Linked DNA regions of Tribolium castaneum. The protein of the gene in region 1 purifies or fractionates together with the protein of each later gene. This does not show direct contact. Links are inferred from orthologs where the notes say so. Each region holds a gene or a part of one and is shown in the gene's direction. Other genes may lie near its edges.

What was found. Proteins that work in one complex are often made in the same cells at the same time.
Region 2: the proteins of osa (region 1) and mor purify together in Drosophila melanogaster (affinity purification with mass spectrometry; 3 studies listed by BioGRID, with this or other methods). This does not show direct contact. The link is inferred for Tribolium castaneum from reciprocal best matches to the Drosophila melanogaster genes osa and mor.
Region 3: the proteins of osa (region 1) and Bap60 purify together in Drosophila melanogaster (affinity purification with mass spectrometry; 3 studies listed by BioGRID, with this or other methods). This does not show direct contact. The link is inferred for Tribolium castaneum from reciprocal best matches to the Drosophila melanogaster genes osa and Bap60.

The regions. Positions count from the first base shown.
Region 1 is NC_087403.1:4,034,005-4,037,519, reverse strand, and holds part of osa (trithorax group protein osa), read left to right. Parts: intron 1-804; coding exon 805-1,731; intron 1,732-2,447; coding exon 2,448-2,629; intron 2,630-3,038; coding exon 3,039-3,083; intron 3,084-3,232; coding exon 3,233-3,421; intron 3,422-3,481; coding exon 3,482-3,515. UniProt on the Drosophila melanogaster protein: Trithorax group (trxG) protein required for embryonic segmentation, development of the notum and wing margin, and photoreceptor differentiation. Required for the activation of genes such as Antp, Ubx and Eve.
Region 2 is NC_087395.1:15,650,951-15,655,004, forward strand, and holds the start of mor (SWI/SNF complex subunit SMARCC2), read left to right. Parts: upstream 1-1,251; 5' UTR 1,252-1,965; coding exon 1,966-2,082; intron 2,083-2,130; coding exon 2,131-2,364; intron 2,365-4,054.
Region 3 is NC_087395.1:25,852,053-25,855,996, reverse strand, and holds Bap60 (brahma-associated protein of 60 kDa), read left to right. Parts: upstream 1-1,456; 5' UTR 1,457-1,673; coding exon 1,674-1,787; intron 1,788-1,834; coding exon 1,835-2,001; intron 2,002-2,089; coding exon 2,090-3,155; intron 3,156-3,204; coding exon 3,205-3,360; 3' UTR 3,361-3,441; downstream 3,442-3,944. Other genes in the region: fibroblast growth factor receptor substrate 3, read right to left, coding at 1-136, 385-1,010. UniProt on the Drosophila melanogaster protein: Involved in the recruitment and site-specific anchoring of the Brahma complex at specific promoter sites.

The DNA.
Region 1 (3,515 bases):
TATTTTATCAATTTTTTTATTATAGTTTGTGGTTGATTCCATTATATACTTGATAAAGCGCAGTCAAGTATTTTTGCATTATGCATTAGAACAATAAAAATAAACTTGAAAGCACTACCGCTTGTCTTTTTTTTTCAGACAATGTAAAATATTTTTGCAGCATAAGCGCCATTTATTTGTGGTATTATCATCATCTCTCCGCCTATTGTATGATACATACTACAGTGATTTAGTGATTTTAGATTCTAAAAATTTATTTACGACGTAGTATAAATTTTACTACGTTAAAAAAATAATTTTTGATGTAGTTATTAAAATCAATATTTTATTGAGATAGTGTGACCATAATGACCCCAGTAAAATGTTTTACGACAGTTTTAGTAAAATTTTAATCGAAAAGGGCTTGTAAGCTGTTTGTATCTCGATTACTTGGCATTCACTTGTACAGTCACACCTACGCCAAACCTAACATTGCAATTTTTTCAAAATTGTTTGAATTCCGAAAATGATTAGGGCAAGGTACGAACTTTTGCCTTGCCTCGGCGTCTAAAGTTGTTTGAAATCGTATATGGTGCTGTTATTTGTTGTTTTCCGGGATTTATTTGCGCCAATTTCCGGCCGCCAAAACCTGTAGAAAGTGTTTGTGAGTTGTGCCAAAATTTGCTAGGATTTTTTGACCGCTCTGACTTGAAACATGTGAGACGGACGTAAGGTCCGTTTGTGTTTGTGATGGTTGTCGTGTCGGTGTCAATAGTGAAACATTGAAGTGTCAAGCACCGTCTTCATTCGTTTTTGTTTTTCCAGGTCAGCAAAACATTCCGATGCCTCCTCGGCCGTCCAGTGGTCAATCAGATGGCAGTGGATCAACTCGAATGAGCCATTCGCCGATGGCGACGCAAGGCAGCTATTCGTCGCCTCATCCGGCCCACGTTCACGGTTATAAGGGCCATCCGGGCATGGTGTCCGGCCCAGGGCCTGGCCCCGGCCCCGCCGGCCAGCAGATGCCGCTTTATCAGCCCAACCAGCAGTACCCGCAAGGCGGTTATCCGCCGAGGCCCCAAGCCAACATCCAGTATCCCGGCCAGGGCTACGGCCCCCCGGCGTCGCAAGCGCCGCCCCCTAACAACAACATGTCTCCGCAACAGTATCCGAATCGGTCGTCCAACCACATGCCGAATTCGCAATTTCAGCCGTATCAACAACCGTGGCAAGGACCGATGACGTTAGCGAAAGGTAACGGACCGCCGCAAGCCCCAGGATCACCTTCGCCCGGTCCCCCGGGACCGCCGCCGCGACCTCCGCACTACCTCAAACAACACCTACAACACAAAATGGGCTTCGGTAACGTTCCCGGATCGGCGCCACCGAGTCCAAGTCCGCCGCAGAATTACCACATGGGTCCGCCGCCGGCGGGACACCACCATTCGGGGATGGGACCGCCGCCCACTATGGGACCGCCGCCGAATATGCCACCCGCGAGCAGTCCCCTAATGCCTAACAGCCATTCACATGACGGTCCCATGCCGCCACCGAGTTCGACACCGAATTCACATACGCAAATGGGTTCTGAAATGATGGATAATGGGATTACGACAACGGCACAAGGTGGGATGAGTACTCATGTCACAACGGCGGCGGGAGGATCGGTTACTTCCGTTGTTACAACAGGACCTGATGGGACACCGATCGATGAAGGATCGCAACAATCGACACTGTCAAATGCATCAGCCGGTAATAAAACGAGTAGAATTTGCCTGTCTTATCTTTGTACAAATAAAATTTCCCTCAACCGAGCTTCAATTAACTTCAAATTCAACCTTCGGTTTTTATCGTAGCGGTAGTGTTTCATCACAAAAAAGATTTATAACGTATTAATATTTAACTGATTTTTTTCTCAGTTACTCTCGTATGTTTATCTGGTTAAGTTTTTTCGTACGTTTTTTTAATCTTATGTTACTGAAATTTTATCTGTTTTTCGGTAAGTGGTGCGAGTTTCTAAATAATTTCAATGAAAATAAAAAATAGTGTTCATCGTCTTTAAAAAAATAAACAAGAAGGTGTTTGGCTGCGACTTTTTACTCATAAAACGAATAAATATAGTAGTATATTCTAATAGTCGGAAAAATCATAATAGTACATACATATTGAATTTCTTTCTAATTTTGGTGTCGACTGCGTATTTTTGAGTCTGAAGCAATTTTAAACAATTCCGCTGGTACATAATTTTGTAGTGCGTAATTTCAAGAATTTACGGAGATTGCGACCATTACTAAGCTTTGTTTTTGAATCATTAAAAGGGGGGGACCTGATGTATAAAGTCAAATTATTCGCTTTTGCGAAAATGACTTTTCCCCTCGGTTCTGAGCGCCGAGATCTCGGAATATTGAAAATTTTTTCACAATTTAATTTTGGTAAAATGAAGTTTGATTGATTTTATTTGATTGCAGCTTCCGGCGAAGATCCCCAGTGTACCACACCGAAATCGAATCGGAAAAATGAAATGGGTCACTATAGCCATCCAACAACGCCGCAAAGTACAGTGCCATCTCCTGGTGCAGCAAGTATGAATTCAATGCATGACGACTACGAAATAAGCAGTCCAAGTTGGCCAAGGACCCCCGCAAGTCCAGTAAGTGGTAGATTTATATGACAATACGGCATCGTAAGTGTTCACACACAATCATATGTGTTTTAAATATTTTAAATGTATTTACCACTCTACACAAGTTTTTGTTAAAATGCATATAAGTATTATATTGAAATTGTGTGATCGAGTTCTGTGGCATTCAGTAACGTAACTGAAAATTTTTAATACGATTGGGATACCACCTACCGCTATATCCGTAGATGAAAATTTTTTAGTGACTGATGACTGTGTATGGACCTGCATTTTTCGAAATAAATTTTTTCATTTTGTGTCGTAATTACGGGTGGGACCGGTGTTTTCTGTTGGTGTTTTTTTCTTTAGCCCACTTAACAAACAGCTTAAGTCAATTGTGTTTAGTGTGTTCATTGAGCTAACTGGCGGGTGTTTCCAGGTGTTTAACAGTCATGTGCCTCCTCCGGACACGTATCGCTCAAAGGTTTATATATAATATTATTTAATGTCGTGCTAATGCTTGTGATAGCATGTCAGAGGCATGTTTTATGTAGTGCTTGACGTTTAGAAACCACAATTCAGAAAGAGGGACTTTTGTTTTTATCCTTTGCTTATTCTTTATGTATTTTGCAGAAAACTGATAGTCTCAGCAAGTTATACGAAATGGATGACAGTCCAGATAGACGTGCTTGGTTGGATAAACTACTCACATTTATGGAAGAGAGAAGATCGCCAATCACTACTTGCCCTACTATTTCCAAGAACCCGCTTGATTTGTTCCGTTTGTATGTCTATGTTAAGGACAGGGGTGGTTTTCTGGAGGTACTACTATTATTTTCACTTATTTAGCTAGTTAGAAATAATGTTCTTTTATTTTCGAAGGTTACGAAAAACAAAACATGGAAAGATATCGCCG
Region 2 (4,054 bases), on another chromosome or scaffold:
GAATAGGGTGTACTTTTTAGCGTTTATAGACCCATTTGCAATAAAATCTCAGTTAAAGTTACCATTTTCAAAATGGATTGTATTAAATTTTTAGCCCTTTTCTTATTGACCACCTAAAGTTTTTTTTTTGTGGATCCTTTTTGCCTCTCCGTCCATATATTTCACGGTCCGTAGAGCCGGCTCTGTATTATAATAAATAATAAATAATTTTTGTGATCCAATTTTTGAAAACATTTTATTTTGGGGTGAAATAACTTCTAAACGCTTGATTTTTTTGTAAAAGAAAAATCTCTGTTAGAACTGAACTCTACTGACAATATTTCAAACAAGATGCTCTATTTCATGAAGAAAAAATATTATGAAAAGTGATAAAAAATGATCCTTTTTTTAACTGATTGTTTTTTTAACGAATCACCCTGGATGTTAGAAAACAAACAAAAAAACTAGTAAATCCGAAAACAGGTCAATTTTTATTTACAGGGGACACCTGTTAGTGTCCTTTCGAAATTTGTAGCACCTACCTCTTTTGTATTAAAAAATTAAAAACAACACCTTCACAATTCGAAATACCTCAAATGAAAGGTATTTTGACAAGGAATTTAGGCTTTTTTAGTGTTTTTTTTTTTTAGTTGAGCTAGACCTAAAAACTAGGAAAATTTTTCTAATAAAGTCGCGAACTTAAATATCAGTCAACACAGGACACACAAGAAAGTTAACGCCAGATAGGGGAATGGTAAAATATAATAAAAAAAAATAAAGCTAATGTAAAAAAAATATTATAAACTATATTAATTATAAAATCATTTACCAATTTCAGCAAAACTATTCTGTAAAACTATAAATATGATTTTTTTCTGATGTTAGCTTATAAAAAAAAATGGCTTCTCAACGTTTCTGCGCTTTCTCCATCCATGAATGAACTATTCACAGTTACGTAAGTTTTAATTATAATTTAAAACAATCTAGAGACGAGGCGGTCTAATAATAATACTCTAAGCGCTCGTTTTTATTTTTAAGCTTTTTTCTGAACCGAATACCTAGTATAGGCGTCAGCTTTGTTAATTTGTAACTTTTACCCAAGTGACGTTAATAGAAGCAAAAATTTGGTTTGTATATCCTATGCTAGTAAGCTAGTATGTTCTCATTTTTGGTGCTTCATTACTTCAATATTGTGTATAAACATGTCGTGATAACGGAATTAGGAAAAAGGGAGGAGAATTGAATTAGATCACAAAGAGGTAAGTTTTTGTAACTGTTTTTTTTTCCTTGCCAAAAAATTTCAGTGCACGCCACTGCTGCGAGCTCATTCGTGCACCGGAACGTAACGCGGGGATTGTTTGTTTGTTTGCACATGAGCCAAACCAGAGATCACGTTCAAAGTAACGTGGAGACCCACGTGATCCCTACCTATTACACCTATCAGAGCGAAACTTTTGGCCACGGGGGCGAGGTACCCGAGCCCCAAAACTGGCAGTTTCGCCCCCGTTTGAGGCCCAGCATAAGCCCGTCGAGCTTCAGACAACGCGAAGACCCGATTTTTTTCGGAAATGCCTCAGCTGCGGTCACGTTTCACGTGAGCTGTTAGGTAACGCCAGGAAAATTCACGACCGCTCATTTCACACGTTTCGGCTTACATAAGTTGTTTTGATCTGTTATTTCCCTACATGTGAACGTTTCCAGTCCATGACAGTGAACGTGCATCGGCCCGTGAAGCGTGGGCACGTGTTGCAAACACGCTCACGCTCGAAATTCAAATTTCCCGCCCCGGATAACGTATTACTGGTTGCCCATACTTCGCATTTTGACAATTGACATTATTGTGATATTCAAGCGTCGGTTTATTTCGCTAAATTTACGCTATTTATTTGTATATTTCTGTAAAGTTTACCAAAGTAATGTACAATTTAGTTAAGTCTCAGTAATACGGTAGTTTCGTAAGTCGGGAATTATTCTTCTGTGGGCAAAATGATGGGCTACGGCCCCAAAAAGGACGGCGGTCCTAACGTGAAATACTTCGAATCGCCGGAAACCCTCGCGGCCCTCGAGCTTGTGAGGCAGTGGCTGCAGAAGAATGGCAAAAAGGTGAGGTTCTGAGCGCTGTGAGTGCCCCCATCATTGTGGTTGTTTCAGTATTTTCAAGCCGAACCTGTCACTAATAAGAGTCTCTCCATGTTGGTTTTGCAATTGATGCAATTCCAGGAGGACTTTTTGGGCAAAAATGTGCAAAAGCCGCCCATGATCCGCATCCCGGTGCGGTATTTTATGGATTTTAAGCCCGGGGGCGCCTTGTGCCACATGCTGTTGGCGGCGTACAAGTTCAAGAGCGAGCACAATTGGCGCCGGTTTGAGATACCAACAGGCAAAGTGAGTATCCTGTCTTAAAACTTTGGCGTAAAATAGTATTTTCCATAATTATTTCTTTTTCTGTACGGTGGAACCTACAAATTTTGGTTTGAAACTCAGCTAAATTTGTAACCCTATTTTGCTAATTGATCATCTTATGACCAAAAATATCGGTCATAAATATGTCTGTCTAACGTAAAATTGTCGAAGGATTCCAAATCTGTCCTCATTTTTCTTCTACGATTTGTAGTTTTGGAGATATTAGATGATTTCCATTTTTCTAGTTAGCAAAAATTTAAAAAAGTAGAAATAGATCTATTCGTAACAACGACTTGTAGCCCTCTTTACTAATGAATTATCTGTTTTTGAGGAAAATTTTGTAACAATCCAGTCAAAATTGTGCAATTAATCCGGATAAAATAACTTGGTTAAAATTTTAATTTACTTATCTGTCAATAAAAAAATACTAAGATCGCAATAACCAAAAATATAGGTCATAAATATGTCTGTTCTGATAAATCTGTTCTGATTTTTGTTTTACGATTCGTAGTTTCGGAGATATTAACTGATGTATGGTGATTTCCATTTTTTTAGTTACCAAAAATAAAAAAATAGAAATACTAGATCTGGTCGTAAAAACGACTTGTAACCCTCTTTGCTAATTAATTACCTATTCCTGTGCAAAATTTAGTAACAATAGATTCAAAATTGTGCAAATAATTTGAATAAAACAAGTTGGTGAAATTTTTTATTTACTTATCTGGCAATAAAAAAATCATCAAGATCACAATAACCAAAAATACAGGTAAAAATTACGTCTAGCTGACGTAAAATTGTCTGAGGATTCCCAGTCTCTCCTGATTTTTGTTCTATGATTGGTAGTTTTGGAGATATTAGACAATATACGGTCGATTTCCATTTTTACAAGCTACCAAAAATAAAAAAAAATCTATCTAATCTAAAATTGTCTGAGGATTCCGAATCTCTCCTCATTTTTGTTCTATGATTCGTGGTTTGGAAGATATTTTAGATGATATCCGGTCGATTTCTATGTTTCCAATCTACAAAAAATAAAATAAAAAGAATTAAAACTACTCGTAAAAATGACTTGTAGCCCTCTTTACTAATCAACTATCTAGTCCTGCACAAAATTTAGTGAAAATCTAATGAAAATTCTGAAAATAATCCGAACAAAACAACTTGGTCAAAATTTTGATTTACTTTTCTGCAAATAAAAAAATCATCAAGATCACAATAACCAAAAATATCGGTCAAAAATATGACCATCTAACGTAAAATTGTCTGAGGATTCCAAATTTTTCCTCATTTTTGTTCTACGATTCGTAGTTTTGAAGATATTTTAGACGATATACGGCGGATTTCCATTTTTCCAGTCTACCAAAAATAAAAACAAATAAAATAAATCTACTTTTAAAAACGACTTGTAGCCCTCTTTACTAATTAATTACCTATTCTTGCACAAAATTTAGTAACAATCGGGTCAAAATTCTGAATATAAATCGAATAAAACAACTTAATCAAAATTTTGATTTACTTATCTGCCAATAAAAAAATAATCAAGGTCACAATAATCAAAAATATAGGTCAAAAATATGCCTCTCTTACGTAAAATTGACTGAGGATTCCGTATCTGTCCTCACGTTTGTTTTATAATTCGTAGTTTTGGATGTTTTAATTTTTCCAGTTTGCC
Region 3 (3,944 bases), on another chromosome or scaffold:
ATCTTTGGTGTCTATATTGGCGTAGCAATGTCTTGCGTTGTCCTCGGAAGGATCCGAGTCTTTGGTTCCAACGGTGTCCACATTCATGTACAGGTGGCACGGACTCTCCACAAGGGGGCGCAGCTCCTCCCCACATCTAAATACCCAGTGACTTTATTTTTATTTAAATCAAAACTGCCAAATTAAAATTTTTAATTTATCACCAACTTATTATTATTTAAAGGCAGAAAATTATAAATTATTCACCGAAGAAAAAAAATATAAAAGTGGCACAGTTGGCAAAGCTGTTTATTTAGCAAAATTTCAATCTAACTGACAAAAATGTGTAAAAAAAATCGGTAAAAGCGCCCTAAATGAAATAAATCTGGGACTTTAGCAACTTACCCCTCGGGGGCTGCGGCGCCTAAGTTGGCATAATTGGGAGCCTCCAACTCAGTAATAACACTGGAATTGGTGTACTGGTGGTCCCCCAAACTGCCCCTCTTATTATTATTGTGTTCGTGCGTCGACTCGGCCGTCGTGGGGCTCACCGGGCCGTTGCTGGTGATGGACCCAGGGCGGCTCAGACTCGGCCTGGGGGCCCCCACCGGATTGAGATAGCCCTCGGGCTGGGACGGGGCGCGTCGCTGCACAGGGGGCCCCGTGGAAACGGCCGGAAAGTCCGAAATGGCGTTAATAAGGGGGTTCTCGTCGGAATTACGTACAATGTGATGTTGGACGATATTGAAAAGTTGCTCAGCCTTGCGGCACCTAAACGCATAAATGCCTTGGCCAGTGGGGCACCTGCGACCGCACTCGAAACTGAAAATTTCCGAGTCGAAGCCGTACTTGCGCAGCGACCTGAGGGGCCACACTGTGGGGTTTTTGCCTCTTTGGTGTAGGACTAGTTCAGTTTCCCGGACTTCGAGCTTGCCGGGGCTCACCAAGTCGCCTTGGTCGTTGACGTTGGATACGTCGAAAATGTTCGGGTGTTGATCGTTTATGTCGGGCTTGCTGCTAACACAACCCATTTTCTACCTAGGAGTAAGGGGTAAATAAACATCAAGGTTATTTGGTTGGGGGCACTTACTAGGTTTGGCTCAAAGCTTGATTGCATGGACACGTGGCTTTTCAGGCATTCTGACCAAAAATTACTGTTTTTACATTTTGTTGTGAGTTTTTCGGGGTTTTTTAACCAATTTTTATGTGAAGTTCTCACATAATAAACAGCGACGCCATCATGGTTCTTCTGTCACCAGGCCGGCAACCAAACACAAAAAATGCGAAAATAAATTCATTTGACCACCGGCAACAACCCCACGGGCCCCAAAACACCCACAACAACACGCGTAAACAACCCAACAACCTTTCTGAAAATTTTTAAACAAAATACGGAAAAACAACGGTGTTGGTACCCCTACTAGTAGCTCAACTGGTCACAATCTCACAATGTTCACAAAACCTAATAGTGAATTCACACCTTTTTCGTATTTTTTTCCCAAACTTTGATTCAATAAACCCAAAGGTCGCAAAACCGTTCTTAATCACACATTTACTATTGATAATTCCTTATCAAATTAACAATTTCGTCCACGCACACCTTCGTCACCAAACCCACCAAACACACAAGACCGAAACTGGGCAACTGGGGACGCATCTGTGTGTTTTTTGTGCTTAAGAAGTGATAAAAGGCCATGGCCCAGCGTTTCGCGGGCCCCGTGCCGCCCCAAGGTCCCGGGGGGCCCCCACCCCAGCGTTACCCGCCCCAAAATCCGGGAATGCGCCAGTACCCAGCCCAGAATTTTCCGGTGAGTTTCCCCATTTTCCACCCAATTATTTCTAATTCGCACTATAGCAACGGACAGGGTACAACACCCCGCCCCCGAACATGGGGGCCCAGCCGGGCGCTATGATGCCGCGGCCCCCTCAAGCCCCCTATTCGCCCATGCGAGGGGGGCCCATGCCGCCCCAGCCGGGCGTTAAACGGCCCCCGGACAACAGGGCCGTCATGCAGCAAAAGAGGTAAGCAATTGGGAGTATACAGAATTGTTATTTTTATTTATTTCAAATATTTGTATTTGTTCGAAAAAATCGTTTACGCTGTTGGCAGTGATTACCCACATGGAACCAAGAAAAAGAAGAAGCTTTCCGACAAGATTTTGCCCCAAAAAGTCAGAGATTTGGTGCCCGAAAGCCAGGCCTACATGGATTTACTCGCGTTTGAGCGTAAATTAGACTCGACCATAATGAGAAAACGGTTGGATATTCAAGAGGCGTTAAAACGTCCAATGAAACAAAAACGCAAATTGAGGATTTTCATCTCTAACACGTTTTATCCAGCCAAAGAGGCGTGCGCCGAGGGCCCAGACGGCCCTGGACAAGAGGGCTCCGTGGCCTCTTGGGAGTTGCGAGTCGAGGGCCGCCTTTTAGACGACTCGAAAAGTGACCCCAATAAAGTCAAACGCAAATTTTCGTCATTTTTCAAATCGTTGGTGATTGAGCTCGATAAGGAGTTGTACGGTCCTGATAACCACTTGGTGGAATGGCACCGTACCTTAACAACTCAAGAAACAGACGGTTTCCAGGTCAAGAGACCTGGGGATAAGAATGTGCGGTGCACTATTCTTTTGTTACTCGACTACCAACCGCTACAATTCAAACTCGACCCGCGATTGGCCCGTTTATTGGGCGTGCACACGCAGACACGCCCCGTTATCATCTCCGCCCTATGGCAGTATATAAAAACGCACCGATTGCAAGACGCCCACGAACGCGAATACATCGTGTGTGATAAATATCTCGAGCAGATCTTCGGGTGTCCTCGGATGAAATTTGCGGAAATCCCCCAACGTTTAAACCCGTTGCTCCACCCACCGGACCCTATCGTCATCAATCACGTGATCTCGGTGGAGGGCGGGGCCGAAAGCAAGCAAACCGCCTGCTACGATATTGACGTGGAGGTGGACGATACGCTCAAAACTCAGATGAATAATTTCCTGTTGAGCACAGCTAGTCAGCAGGAGATCCAAGGTTTGGATGCGAAAATTCACGAAACTGTCGATACGATTAATCAATTGAAAACAAATCGTGAGTTTTTCTTGAGTTTTGCCAAAGATCCGCAACAGTTTATTTACAAGTGGATCGTGTCACAAACCAGGGATTTGAAGGTATGGAAAGTGAGTGTATTAGGGTGGAAAAGTGGCATTTTCCGCACGTTTGTTCTAGTGTATGACCGATGTGGTGGGCAATCCTGAAGAGGAGCGGAGGTCCGACTTTTTCTACCAACCGTGGGCGCAAGAAGCCGTGTGTCGCTATTTCTACACCAAGGTGCAGCAAAAAAGGGCCGAACTGGAGCAAGCACTCGGCATTCGCAACAATTGAGCGAAACCAGCACGAGATATGTATTAGTTTATTTGAATATAATTTCCAGCATTTAATAAATAAACTGCATTTTTAACTCAAGTCACTTTCCTTAAAATGTCTCCAAATAACCAAAAACAAACTCACTAAGGCTGGAGAATTTTTCCTCAAAAATTCAGTGATTTTTTTCCTATAAGGGTGAAAAATTTTCGGCAACAATGAGGGAAACAAACAGGAAATTTGTATTAGTTTATTAGAATATAATTTCCATCATTTAAATAAATAAATTGCATTATTGACTCAAGCATCCACTATCAGTTTCGTTACACAACTACGACAGCTGTACCAAAGACTGTTACTAAACAATTATCTACAGTCAACAAAAACAAATAAATTAGAAATGCAATTGTGCACCAATCGGGTCTTTGACGGAAGAACAAAACTTTGCTACTTATCACAATGAAATTAGATTGCATCGGAGCGATTAGCACTTGCGCCCGTCAAGCCAACCGTCCGACCTGCACCATTGAGAAAAACAACAAAATAAAATCGTTTTAAAAAAATATATACTTAGACCACTACAAGCAATCAATCAATCGTAAACA